Linked DNA regions of Macaca fascicularis. The protein of the gene in region 1 interacts with the protein of each later gene in a pairwise test. Links are inferred from orthologs where the notes say so. Each region holds a gene or a part of one and is shown in the gene's direction. Other genes may lie near its edges.

What was found.
Region 2: the proteins of ADAMTSL4 (region 1) and MAPKBP1 interact in binary tests that used the Homo sapiens proteins (3 or more experiments, as listed by UniProt). The two-hybrid records come from large-scale screens. The link is inferred for Macaca fascicularis from reciprocal best matches to the Homo sapiens genes ADAMTSL4 and MAPKBP1.
Region 3: the proteins of ADAMTSL4 (region 1) and PRKAB2 interact in binary tests that used the Homo sapiens proteins (3 or more experiments, as listed by UniProt). The link is inferred for Macaca fascicularis from reciprocal best matches to the Homo sapiens genes ADAMTSL4 and PRKAB2.

The regions. Positions count from the first base shown.
Region 1 is NC_088375.1:110,701,359-110,705,671, reverse strand, and holds the start of ADAMTSL4 (ADAMTS-like protein 4), read left to right. Parts: upstream 1-1,404; 5' UTR 1,405-1,495; intron 1,496-1,751; exon of another isoform or gene 1,752-1,904; intron 1,905-2,153; exon of another isoform or gene 2,154-2,293; coding exon of another isoform or gene 2,294-2,508; intron 2,509-2,509; coding exon of another isoform or gene 2,510-2,619; intron 2,620-2,621; coding exon of another isoform or gene 2,622-2,785; intron 2,786-2,787; coding exon of another isoform or gene 2,788-2,986; intron 2,987-2,988; coding exon of another isoform or gene 2,989-3,059; exon of another isoform or gene 3,060-3,194; intron 3,195-4,152; exon of another isoform or gene 4,153-4,205; 5' UTR 4,206-4,313. UniProt on the Homo sapiens protein: Positive regulation of apoptosis. May facilitate FBN1 microfibril biogenesis.
Region 2 is NC_088381.1:18,364,008-18,368,376, forward strand, and holds the start of MAPKBP1 (mitogen-activated protein kinase-binding protein 1), read left to right. Parts: upstream 1-1,498; 5' UTR 1,499-1,625; intron 1,626-1,939; exon of another isoform or gene 1,940-2,179; 5' UTR 2,180-2,288; coding exon 2,289-2,402; intron 2,403-4,369. UniProt on the Homo sapiens protein: Negative regulator of NOD2 function. It down-regulates NOD2-induced processes such as activation of NF-kappa-B signaling, IL8 secretion and antibacterial response. Involved in JNK signaling pathway.
Region 3 is NC_088375.1:113,062,270-113,066,520, forward strand, and holds the start of PRKAB2 (5'-AMP-activated protein kinase subunit beta-2), read left to right. Parts: upstream 1-1,392; 5' UTR 1,393-1,438; exon of another isoform or gene 1,439-1,698; 5' UTR 1,699-1,721; coding exon 1,722-1,877; intron 1,878-4,251. UniProt on the Homo sapiens protein: Non-catalytic subunit of AMP-activated protein kinase (AMPK), an energy sensor protein kinase that plays a key role in regulating cellular energy metabolism.

The DNA.
Region 1 (4,313 bases):
CGGGAGGTGGAGGTTGCAGTGAGCCGAGATCGTGCCATTGCCCTCCAGCCTGGGCGACAAGAATGAGACTCCGTCTCAATAATAATAATATTAATAACAAGAGGCCGGGCACGGTGGCTCACGCCTGTAATCCCAACACTTTGGGAGGCTGAGACGGGCGGATCACGAGGTCAGGAGATCGAGACCATCCTGGCTAACACGGTGAAACGTCTCTACTAAAAATACAAAATACTATAAATATATTTTGTATATAAAATTTGTATAAAATTTTTGTAAAAATATTTGTATAAAAAATAGTATAAATATATACTATAAATATATTTTATAAAAATATAAAAATACAAAAATACAAAATACTAAAAATACAAAAAATTAGCCGGGCGTGGTGGTGGGCGCCTGTAGACCCGGCTACGGGGGAGGCTGGGGCAGGAGAATGGCGTGAACCCGGGAGGCGGAGCTTGCAGTGAGTCAAGATCGTGCCACTGCACTCCAGCCTGGGCGAAAGAGAGAGACTCCGTCTCGAATAATAATAATAAACATAACACAGAGTAAAAAGCAAAAGCCTTTTTCAGTTCTCCTCCAACCCTGAACCCCTCCCCAGATGTCACCAATACTACTGAGTTTGGGGTGCATTCTTCCATATATAAATAAAGAGACATATCCAAGTCCATCCCATATATTAGATTAGTCCCATTTTGCAGATGAGCAAACTGCACCACACAGAGGTGGAAGTATTTGTGGAAGACCACACAGCCGGCAAGTGCTGGAGCTGAGATTCAAAACCAGGTCACTCTGACTCAGAAGTCAGCACGTTGTCCTTCCGCTGAGTCCCGAGTGTAAAACCTTACTGAGGGAAAAACCGAAGCTCATAGAAGTCCCAGCAATCAGAACCACAGGGTTCACTGCCCAACACGGGAGAGCTAGGAGTGACTGAGCTTGCAGGTGAGGCTGCGTGGAGGAGAGAGCCTGGACCCACGCGGATCCGGGGCCGCGGGCACCTCCGTCCAGGGCGCCGCCCTCCCGGACCAGCGGCTCTCCCAGGCCGCCTAGCTCCAGGCGCCCCTGGAGGCCGCCCGCGCCGCGCCGCTCTCGCACCGCTCACCCGAGCCACTCGGAGGCCCGGGCTGCTTAAGTCCCTAATCCCAGCCGGACACGAGGACAGCGCCCGGGAGCGACCGCAGCCTCCGACCCCGGCTGGGCCCGCCCGGGCTTCTGCTCACGCAGCCGACCGGGGGCGCCCGGCGCGCAGCCCGGGGTGGGTGGTCCTGGCGAGCGGGACTGCGAGGCCGACCGTCCCCACCCCGGGACCGCCAAGGGGCGCGGGCTGGGGCGCGTGGCGGGCGGGGCGGGGGCGGGCGCGAGGGCGGAGTCGCGGCCGAGGCGGCGGTGTCCGGAGAGCGGCTCAGGGGCCGCAGTGGCCGCCGCGGAGCGAGGCTGCCTGTAGAGAGCGTCCGGGTGCAGAAGGGTTAACGGGCCACCGGGGCGCGCAGAGCAGGTAGAGACCTCCCCGAGACCCCGGCCCCGGCCGCCCCTCTCCCGGGTCCCGTTAGACCACCAGCCCCGCGCGCCCGCGTCGTCCCCTCTCCCTGCGCTGTGCGGTCGGTCGCGCCCCCGCCACGACCCCGGCCCCAGCTCCGGTGGCCTCGGACGATCTTCCAGCCCCTGGGGTCGAATTCCTGGGGAGGGGGTCTGATCCCGTGGAACTCTGGCCCCATCACCCGGGCGAGGAGTGAGCCAAAATTCCTCCTAAGTCACACAGCGAAGTTGGAAAACAGACCCACGACCTCCCCGCGCGGGCAGCGCCTCCTGCCCTCTCCCTAGGAGGGTGCTCTCGGACGGTGTGCCTCCCGCCCCCCTACTGCAACTCCTGGAGTTGGAGGACAGGGTCGCCGCGAGGGACGCAGGTGGGTGCCCTTGATCCAGTTCAGTCCGATGACAGAAGAGGTTGACAAAAAAGAAAGACACCTGTTGGGGTGGCCTGCCAGACCCAGGAGTGGAGGGCTCCATGAGGGCCAGGGAATTCGGACTCAGGACAGGGATTCTCTGTGGCTATTCCAGAAACATAGGGTCGAGCCACACTCTCCAGCAGGGAGACCTGGGGGTGAAGGGGTGAGCCCTGCTCAGGTCTCTGTTCCTTGGTTTTCACTGGGCAGTGTGGAGAGGTGTGGTCCGGAGGAGCCCACATTTGTCCAGACCAGGGTCTATTCTGGCACCAACCTCTGACCTCTCCTTTCCCCGTCCTGGGCCGTGAACGACACCAAATGAGGCACATGGAAAGGGGTGAGAAGCACAAATGTGCGTGTGTTTCTGCAGAGGAGGGGGCATGGGCCCCTGCCGGGCTGCGCAGGGGAGGGTGGGGTGGGACTTTTCCAGAGAGGGAGCCAGGCCTGGCCCGGGCCCCAGGAGCTCACGTCACCCCCACCCCTCACTTCTCCAGGGAACTGCCAAGGCCAAACCCAGCTCGGGACGGGATTATGTGTACTGGGTAGACCCGTGGAGAGGGGCGGTGAGATCTGGGTGGCAGAGAGAAACAGAGGCAGAGAGGGCATGGAGAGGGGTCGGCATCAGAGAAGGGGCCGGCAGTGACCATCACCCCCTTTCTTCTTCCCTCAGCTAGAGTAACAGAGTCAGGCAGAGCCTGAACACTTGGGTGGAACATGGGCCCTTCTCTGGAGACCCTGGCCTCCCCCGTTCAGTCAGGGCGGAGTTGCTGACCTCAGTGGCCGGCCCAGCCAGGGGAAGGAGTGGCCATCGGCAACCCCCTCCCCAACCCTAAACCGTGAGGCACGCCCGCTCTGGCTCAGCCACTCTGACCCCTCCCTCAAATTATGAGCCCTAGGTCTCAGGGAGGGCAGTGGGGCGCAGTGTCTGCCCCCAGGCACATTCCTTCCCTTCTCTTGGTCATTTTCTGCCCCAGAGCTGGCCCACCTCAGCAATTTGAGGGCTCCCTGGATTCCTTTCCCGGGTGCCTTTCAGATCCAACAGAAACATTTTTTTTTTTCCTGGAAAGCAGACCCAAGAGTGGGATGAGGAGCAGGGGTGGGAAGGCCTCTAAGTGAGAAGGGGGCAAGGAGAGTCAGGCTTTGTGGCTCGGGAGGGTTCCAAGCCTCACTTCTCCAGTGTTCAAAGCTGAACTTCAGATGGACTTCCTGCCTCTTGAGAATGAGAGGCCTGTGGCTGGGGCAAGAGGCAGCCCTGGCTGCACCTCTCCTTCCCGCTTCCCCAGCTGGTAGAGCCGCACAGGAAACAAGCCCTCACTGAACCAGTGCTGGATGCTGGCACCCAGAGTGGGTGTTACATTGCGGGCTTCTTCTCTAGAGATTAAACCGTCAACCCATTTAGCTTATCCCTTGGCCAAAAGTGTCTGAGATGTGCCTGGATGTTCCCGCACATCTCTTCCACAGAAGGGAAGAGAAAGCCAGGAGGCAAGTAGGACAGAGAGATGTCTGGGGAAGGTCTCGTTTCTGGAAGACCCGAGGAAGGGGCTTCTGGTGGATCCTCAGAGAGAGTGTCTGGCACATCCTCAGTGGAGCCTTCCTCCTCTACTTTCTAGGCACCTCTGGGAGGGCAGGAGTGGGAGCAGATGACAACCATTTTAGAAGGAGCCCTCTGGCTGGGTGCGGTGGCTCACACTTGTCATCCCAGCACTTTGGGAGGCCAAGGCAGGAGAAGCGCTTGAGGCCAGGAGTTTGAGACCAGCCTGTGCAATTTAGCTGGATCCCGTCTCTACCAAAAAATACAAAAATTAGCTGGGTGTGGTGGTGCACGCATGTAGTCCCACCTACTCAGGAGGCTGAGGAGGAAGGAGAGCCTGTGAGTTTGAGGCTACAATGAGCTTTGGTGGCACCATTGCACTCCAGCCTGGATGACAGAGTGAGATCTCCATCTCAAAAAAAAAAAAAAAAAAAAAAGCCGTTTGTGTGTGCCTGAGCCGGCCTAGAAACAGTCTCTAGGTAGGATTTGGGGAGGAGCTAAGAAGCCCCTACAGGGCCCAGGGGTGGGGACTGAGCCTTAGTTGGAAGGCTGAGGTCAGCCCCCGACCATGTAGCCTCTACAGATGGACAAGGCAGTGATCCTCCCTGCTCCCACCCTGAGGATCCTAAAGGGGTGGGCCAGTCTCACCACCTCCTCCACTCTGATCTGTCCTCCCAGCCCCAAGCTCTCTGGACACTGGAGAGGTAACCACCAGGCTTCTGTCCCTGCAGAGAGCACCCTCCACACCCAGATGCCTACCCAGATGCCTGCCCAGATGGCTGTGTAGTTTTTGTGACCAGTCCGCTCCTCCCTTGCCCTGGGGCAGTAGAGGGGGGAGT
Region 2 (4,369 bases), on another chromosome or scaffold:
CTATCTCTTGCATATTGTAGCTAATGGTTCTTGCCTTCCTCCAGACTTGGGAAATAAATGTGAAAATCGTATTTTATGTTTCATAATATTTGCAGTTGCATGGTTGAAGGGAAGAAGGGCACATGTTATTGCCAGTTGGCCTTCCAGGAGATGACATCCATCATCTCCATGTCAACTTGTGGGCTTTACAAATCTCATTTTTAGTATGTGGCTACAGTATACACAAGCACATATGTGCTTTGCCACTTGGCTGTACAAGGCTCACCATTGTACACAAGCAATGAGTTTAGGGGTTCTTCCCTCTTGCTATCACATGTCTTCTCCACAGGGCTGCAAAAGATCTGGGTAGGGTGAGACAGACAGACCAGTGTAGTATTCCCTTGGGTCCCTTGTCTTTGGCTTAGGCTTTTTCATAAGGTATAATAATTTCTTAGAGGTTCTTCCCTCTTGCAGACACATGTCATCTCCACAGGGATTCAAAAGATCTGGATAGGGTGAGACGGACACACCAGTGTACTATTCCCTTGGGGCCCAAGTCTCTGGGTTAGGCTTTTTCATAATTTCTTATGGTAGTAAGTGGAGAATACAGAGGAAATACATATTTCATGTAACATTTCCGTGTATTCCCTCTGCCTCCAACGACATGAGTTAGAAAAACTACCCCTCGATCTAGTATCAGCAAGCTCGACAGTGACCTCAGCAAGGAACAGCCCTAGAGAAAAGGATTCACAAGTAAATGGAACGAGGAAAGATCTGGAGCAACGAAGTGCTGCTGGTCAGCTTTAGCTGAGGAAGCACAATGGGACGTCGGAGGCTAAAGAAACCATGAAACCTGCAGTATTATTAACATAGCACATTCACTTGTCTTCTCTTGCCCCTGCACGCCCAAAGCTCTGTTCGAGGCCACCCTTTCCCCTTTCATAATGACCAATCAGGTTGCCCAGTGCAAAAACACTATTAAATTCTTAGCTATTAAATTGCGTTATTCAGAATAATCCTTTCCACGTTGAGTCTACGTGCCGGACTGGCTGCGAGCAGAAACTACTTCAGGCGCTTTAAATCTCAACACTTGTGGTCGCTGGCAGCAGAGCTCTTAGGCTGTAGCTCAGTCTTGTAATTCTGAGCTACGAGTTTCAGCTACGGTCCCTCGGGCCTATCAAATGGCAACCTTAACACTCTGGAGGCGTGGTTATCGTCTTGGGGCTCTGGGAAGTGCAGTTACATGGGGGACCAGGCCTGATAATACCATAAAAGGCTTGGTTCTCTGAATTCTGAAGCCATGTTCTGTTGACCTTCCTCTAAAAGCGGTACCCGCAATTGTGCGGATTCCGTGGTTCTCTAGTCCCAAGCCGTCTGCTTCCTGGGCCCTTTCGTTGGCTCCGCCCCCGTAAATCTTGCTCGTCCACTCTGGAAGCGCTCTCCTGACTACAGGCCGCGCCCCTCGCATCGGCTCCGCCCACCTGGCGCGCAGCTTGGCCCAGGCGGTAGTTCGCGTTTTGAGCCGATCGTGCCACCATAGCTCCTGCTGCTGCCTCTACCACTGCCGCTACAGCGGCGGAGCTGAAATTGCCGAACGCGATGCCCGAGGGCGCTGTGAGCGGGGTGGCCCTCGCTCGCCGAGGCTGGTGAGGCTGGCCCGAACGGGGGCGCTGACGAGTAGCAGGGGCCTCAGAGGCGGGTGAAAGATAAAGGTCCAAAGCCGCTGTGGAGGGTGGAGAGCGAGCTCTGGAGGATAGGGAGTGGGGGAGGGAGGCTCCCGCGGCAGAACGAGTTGTGGGCTGCGGCGAGCCCCGCCGCGCCGAGTCCCCACCGGCGCTAGCGCAGGTGTCCAGGCCTGCGGAAATCCCTGGTGGTCTCGGCGGCCTCCTCCGTTGGACTCTACAGTTGCCATGGGAGCAGTTGGGCATTAACGGGAACCAGATCGTCCACGAGACCAACTAGGGCCCATCCCATCCATCTCGCCAGTTAAACGCCTCTGGCGGGCGTGGGCCTGGCATTTCTTAGTGGCTTAGGATTTCCCCCCTTTTTCGTGAGCCTTTCCTTCCGACGTTGCAAGAAACTGTGCAGGGCTAGAAGGTGGGGGTGAGGAAAATGGTGAGAGCAATACCCAGAGGTAAAAACTGCAGACTTCGCTAGGCAGAAGGTAAGACACTGTTATACTTGGCTTCTGCCATCTCAGGTCAGTGAGAGGGCATATTGGGAAGCCCTGTGGAGTGGGAAGACAGTGCCGCTGTTGAGACAAGACCCAGGACTGTGCCGGGGACTGTCCCAAGGGGTTTCTCGTCATAATGGCTGTGGAAGGGTCAACCATTACCAGCCGGATCAAGAATCTGTTGAGATCTCCATCCATCAAACTGCGCAGAAATAAGGCAGGAAACCGACGAGAGGACCTCAGCTCCAAGGTGAGTCCTGTTGGGAGCCACCTCTTTCCAAACCCACCCTCTCCTGCTCCATGTTCCTCGTTAACCTTCCTGTTTCTTGGTAAAGATAACTAGAAGCTCTTGTTTACTCTGAAGGATCACATGTGATCTGTGCAGGCAATTTAGGTTGAAGGAAAAAGCAGCAGGGGTGGGCATGCTGAGATTCATCCATGAGAAGAGGTGAATAGTAGGAAGGCCACCTGGGTTCAATTGAGGCCTCACTATACACTAAGCATGTGCTTGGGAAGCCAGTTGATATGCTATGACTCAGTTTCCCTTCTTGGGAAAGGACAGTAGGAACACATACCTTGTGAAGGGCTAAGGTGTGACTAATGTAGCTGCAGGTGTTAATGTAACAGCTGGGGTTATGTAAGACTGTAGTGGCAGAAAGAAATAGCTAAAACACCTAGTCAGAGTTACTGGCTTGGTAATTGCTCTTGCCTAGGGTCAAAACAAATTTTTTTTGGCCCTTCAAGAGGCTAACTGGAGCATCTTGGCTTCTTAGGAATGATAACATGCAAGAAGCCAGATATCTGTCAGCAAAAAGTTCTGGATGGCCCTTGAGCATTGCTTATCTCATTCACTATATGCCAAGGCTGCAGATGATCCTCAGAGGCAAAGTTCCTTTCCATCCCTTCACTTGTCTGGGTTTTGGTCCTTATGCTTTCTTCAACTAAATAAACCCCACAACTTTGGGAACCCAGAAGTAGACTACATTTGTTTAATCACTTGAGACCAGGGCTTTATTCCCACAGGATCAGATCAGATTTTGTGTCTTATTAGTAGCCTGTAAACACAATAGCCTTGTGAGGTACGAGGTTGTTACTGGGAGAGGCATTTGAGACCACAGCATTGTATTGCTTTGCCTGTATCTCTTCAGTGATGAGTAAATCCCATGAGGAATGATTTAGAATGCCACTGTACAACTGGCAGGGTTCTGGGAGGACTTAGTTCAGCCCTGTATTCATTAGCAGAACCTGGAGTAGGTTTGGTAAGAAGGTGAACAACTTTCCTGTATATTTCAGCAGAAGTTGTGTTGAATCACAGTTTGCTACAAGGTTTTGTGATGGGTGGACATTGTGACCCTTCCAAGGTCTCTTATTCATCATTGTTTCTATTCTCCTGAGGCAGGCAAATAAGCCTGAAATGTAGAAATTGTTTTAGATATGACTCTGTTCATTCTTAATACTGCAAGTGCTCTTATTCTTGGCTGGTAACTTGGCAGTGATCAGCACTGTTAGAACAATCTTCTCAAATCTTTGGCCTCTTTTTCTGGCCAGGAATGGTGTATGTAGTAGAAATGTATAATAAGAGTTTAGCCTTCATTGTTAATTCTTACTGTAATTTTGGTCTGGAATCCAGAAAGTATGTTGCCATTCTTTAAGACTTCCAATATCACCCATTATTAATGCATTTAACAAGTGTTTATTGAGTGCCTATTAAGTGTGCAATCAGTTATGGGTAAAACATTACCCTTGCCATCAAAGAGCTTATGGCTAGTCAGACATGTAAACAATTAAAACACAGTGTGGTTAAGTGCTGCTCTAGAAGTATGTGTACGTTGTTAATGGAAGCACAGGGGAGGCAACCTAACTCAGTTTAGAGGAATTAGGAAAGGCTTCACAGGCTGGTCATGGTGGCTCACCCCTGTAATCTCAGCACTTTGGGGGGCCAAGGCGGGTGGATCACTATGTCAGGAGTTCGAGACCAGCATGGTCAAGATGGTGAAACCTGGTCTCTACTAAAAATACAAAAATTAGCCAGGCGTGGTGGTGCACGCCTGTAATCCCAGCTACTTGGGAGGCTGAGGCAGGAGAATTGCTCGAACCCAGGAGGCCGAGGTTGCAGTGAGCTGAGATCCCGCCAGTACACTCTAGCCTGCATAACAGAGCAAAACTCTATCTCAAAAAAAAAAAAAAAGGAAAGGCTTCATAGAGGAAGGGATGCTT
Region 3 (4,251 bases), about 2.4 Mb from region 1:
GAAAAGGTATCAAATCTGGATCTGCTCTCTGCCAGCTGTCAAAGCATTGCTTCTCACACACGTTAATGTGATCTTGTTAAAATGCAGATTCTGAACCCTGGGGATGGGGCCTGATTCTACATTTCTAACAGGCTCCCAGGTGATGCCAACGCTGCTGGTCTGTGTAACACAGATAAACGTTTCTAGTAGAGAAGGCGACATGCAAATACTTCTAATACAAAGGTAAGTACCTTAGGGATTCCACTAATTTTCATAAAAAACCTGGATCCCTCCCAACCCTACGACTGTCTTTGCCTTTTTTATACCTTTAGGGTTCCTTCTGATGTTTTCGTTGTCGCCATCTTCCTTGAATTTTATTTCTTCTGAGGTTTCTCACTGCGTATGCTGTTTCTTAGACTAGGAAAGCCTTTTCGTTATTCTCCTAAGACTAACATTTTACTAATTTGTCAAGGTCTAGCTCCTAAATACGCCATCTTGAATTTTCCCTGCGACCCCAGTCGGGCTGACAGCTCCTTCCTTGTCGCTCCCTATTGAGCAGGTTTTTCTTGTGGGGGGGGGGGGCGGGGAGGCGGAGGGACGGAGTGTCGCTCGGTCGACAGGCTGGAGTGCAGTGGCGCGATCTCGGCTCACTGCAACCTCCACCTCCCGGGTTCAAGCGATTCTCCTGCCTCATCCTCCCCACTAGCTGAGACTTCCGGCGCGCGCCACCACGCCCAGCTAATTTTTGTATTTTTAGTAGAGACCAGGTTTCAACTTGTTGGCCAGGATGGTCTTGATCTCCTGATCTCGTGATCCGCTCGCCTAGGCCTCCCAAAGTGTCGGGATTACAGGCGTGAGCCACCGCGCCCGGCCAGAACAGTTTTAACCTCCAGCAATGGCCATTGCTTCCTTCTGCCTGCAGTTGGAAGTCAGTTTCGGTTTTCTTATTCCCTGTAAGGAACCCCCCTCTCCCGTCGCCTAACACACAGATGCTGCCCAGAAAACGTGCTGGCGCACCTAAGGCGGGGTGGAAAGCCGCGTCGCTTCTCCCGGCACCGAGCGCCGGAGCCCAGGGAGGCGGCCTCCGAGTGTCCTGTTGGAACGTCCCTTCCGCCGGGTAGTCTCAGAGGCCCAGCGCTCCAATGATCCCGGGTGCAGTCTCCCCAGGCGGCACAAGCCCTGCCTGGCGCCCCCTCCTGGCGCTGGAGGCTGCGTGCGACTGCCCACCATCGAGGCGGCGGCGGCTAGAGAGGCCGGCGGGCCCGGGACGCCGAGGCTGCAGGCCGCAGGGAACGCGCACGGGGCCGACTCCGCGCCGCCGGCCTTGTAGCCATTTTAGGAGGAATCGCTGATCGCCAGCGAGGGGTGCGGCTTCAATTTCAATAACTTTATTGGTGGCCTGATCTGCAGAACAGTCATCACTTCAGTGGTCCCTGGAGGAGGGAGCGCATCGCCCGAGGTGACTGGCGTGGGGGCGCCCCTGGCAGTGAGCGCGGGGACGCGGGGGAGTCCCGATAGCGGGTTTCCTGACTAGGGGCAGCGAGGGCACCGGGGTATTTGCAGGCATTCCCGCAGGCCAGGAGGGAGAAGGCTCCGGGGCTTGGCTTCCCTGGGGCGGGGAAATCTCTTGCCCTGTCCCAAGGCGTATGGGCGGGGCCGGGGGGCGCCCCTGACGCGGCTACTGAGGTGTTCCCAGCCCGGTGTGGTTCTCCGCGGTAGGTGGTCCCCGACGAGCTGCAGCCATGGGAAACACCACCAGCGACCGGGTGTCCGGGGAGCGCCACGGTGCCAAGGCTGCACGCTCCGAGGGCGCAGGCGGTCATGCCCCGGGGAAGGAGCACAAGATCATGGTGGGCAGTACGGACGACCCCAGCGTGTTCAGCCTCCCCGACTCCAAGGTAAGCGTCCCACGCCCGCAGTTGGTGGCAGTACTGCAGCGGGTTGATTTCCGGGCTCCTCTTCCCTTTCTTGGTTCTTTTCTGCCGCGCGGAACCGGGCTATGGTTTTTTGAATTAAAAGGATTTTTCGGGGACAGAGGTGTTGGATGGTAATCCCTCTTGCAGTGCCGCCTCAAAATAGGATAAAGAGGCGGAGTTCTTGTTTTCCTGGTGTTCTGACTAATCTGTTGGCCACATTTTTAGGATGGGGACAATAGACATCCCCGATCCTTGGTTCTTCCTAACATGCACGAGTGGCTCTCCTCTATAGCGTTGCTGAATTTGTAGTTTGTTAGCCCTGGTGGACAACTTCAGAGGGTAGGTTGCACGAGTTGCTGACCATAGGTGGTAGTTTCTCACCTTTGCCCTGAGGTGGCTACATGAAATTCTTTTTCTGAAAATTTCTATGTATCAGTATCATTTTTGCCCTCCTAGCAGCTCTGCACTTGTGATCTTCTTCCCTTTTGGCACGGCTGTAAGCAGCAACTACTTGCTTATTGAATAATTTCCCCTAGTCTTGGGGATCAATTAAGGACATCATTTGGTTGACTGCTTAATTTTTGTCCCATACTTTATAGTTGTGGTGGCTGAGGCTGTGCCTCTTTCACGCCCCGCTGCTGCTCCGCAGGTGGAAGAGCCAATGATTCCACGACTTGTTTACTCTCCAGTAGTACTTCAAAATGTTGCGTGGCTAAAAAGCGACAATCCATAGCTGCCTTGAAGACCTTGCTCTCAATTCCAAGGACTTTCAGGAAGAGCCAACTTGTTTTTTCACTCTGTAAGAAAGGACAGATGGAGCTGATAGCAGCGATTACCATTCTAATGTTTCTAATCGCTTTTAGAGCTGTCAGCATGAAATACATGTAGTTTCTCCAGGTAGACTGACTGGATGAGATAGAAAAATGGAGGGCTTGAGGAGATTGGGGTGTGTTTGATGTTTCCTATCATTTCGTCACTTCCCAGGGAACTGGGGCTTTAGAGAGTGAATAGAGTATTATTTGTCATATTGGTAGCACGTGGAATTTGGATTCCATGATTTATTTCCTTGGATCTCAATTGATAACATCGTCACAGCCGGGCGCGGTGGATCACGCCTGTAATCCCAGCACTTTGGGAGGCCGAGGCCGTTGGATCATTTGAGGTCAGGAGTTCGAGACCAGCCTGACCAACATGGTGAAACCCCGTCTCTACTAAAAATACAAAAAAATTAGCTGGGCGTGGTGGTGCATGCCTGTAGTCCCAGCTACTCGGGAGGCTGAGGCAGGAGAATCGCTTGAACCTGGGAGGTGGTGGCTGCAGTGAGTGGAGATCCAGTCACTGCACTCCAGCCTGGGCCACAGAGTGAGACTCTCAAAAGAAAAAAAAAAAAAAAAACAAACCATAATCACAGAGAAGTGAGAAGTGAGAGTGATTAAAAGGAGCACTTATTGGTGTTTATTCTCCATTCTTATTTGGGCTATCTACAAGCCATCTGAATTTACGTATTCAAAGCTTTCGAAAGATGATCTGCCTCATTATATTTTTACCCTTTTCCTACGCTGATGACTCAGGATTTAAATACAGTGTATTTGTTGAACTGTGACTGCAGTAATTGGTGTCCTGATTAAAAGCCAGGTTGCTCTGTCTGAACTGGGGCCTATTTTGTATTATTCTTATCTCTCACATCAGTCTTGGCATTTGTGAATTAAGAAAATTATTCATATAATTTTCAGATTGTCTGAAAATTAGTTCAGATAATTCCTAAGGTCTCATTTAAATCTAATATTTTATAGTTCTCAATCTACCCTCTTTACTTCTAACCTCAACATTTTACTTAAACATCAAACTGTAGTTCTAATTGTTGTTTTGCCTCTTTTCTTGGTAGTTTTGCTGAGTAACTTGGAGTAAATAATCTTTCTGCTCGTCAGCCGCATTCATTCCTACTACAGAAATGTCATGTCATAAGTGGAAGGGCTTTCCTCCAAGGCTAGGCATATTAATAGTTTGTAGCTTTCAAATTCTAAACTGAAAATCCTGTCATAAAAGTAACTGATAGAAACAGTGGTAGGGGGGCCTACTTTGCTTGAATGCCTGCCTTTTTCAGTGGACTAGCTCAGTGGTTCTCAATCCTGTTTGCACATTAGAATCACCTCAGATTTCTTTACATACTTTTTGGAAATTTTTAAACATTGTCAAAGTAGGGGGAAACAATATAATGACATCTATATACGTGCCACCCAGTTTGAACAATGATCAGATCTTGAATGAACATATAACATCTATACCCCAGTCCACTATTCCCCCACTAGTTATTTTGAAGCAGATTCCCAGACGTTATATCAAATATTATTTTATC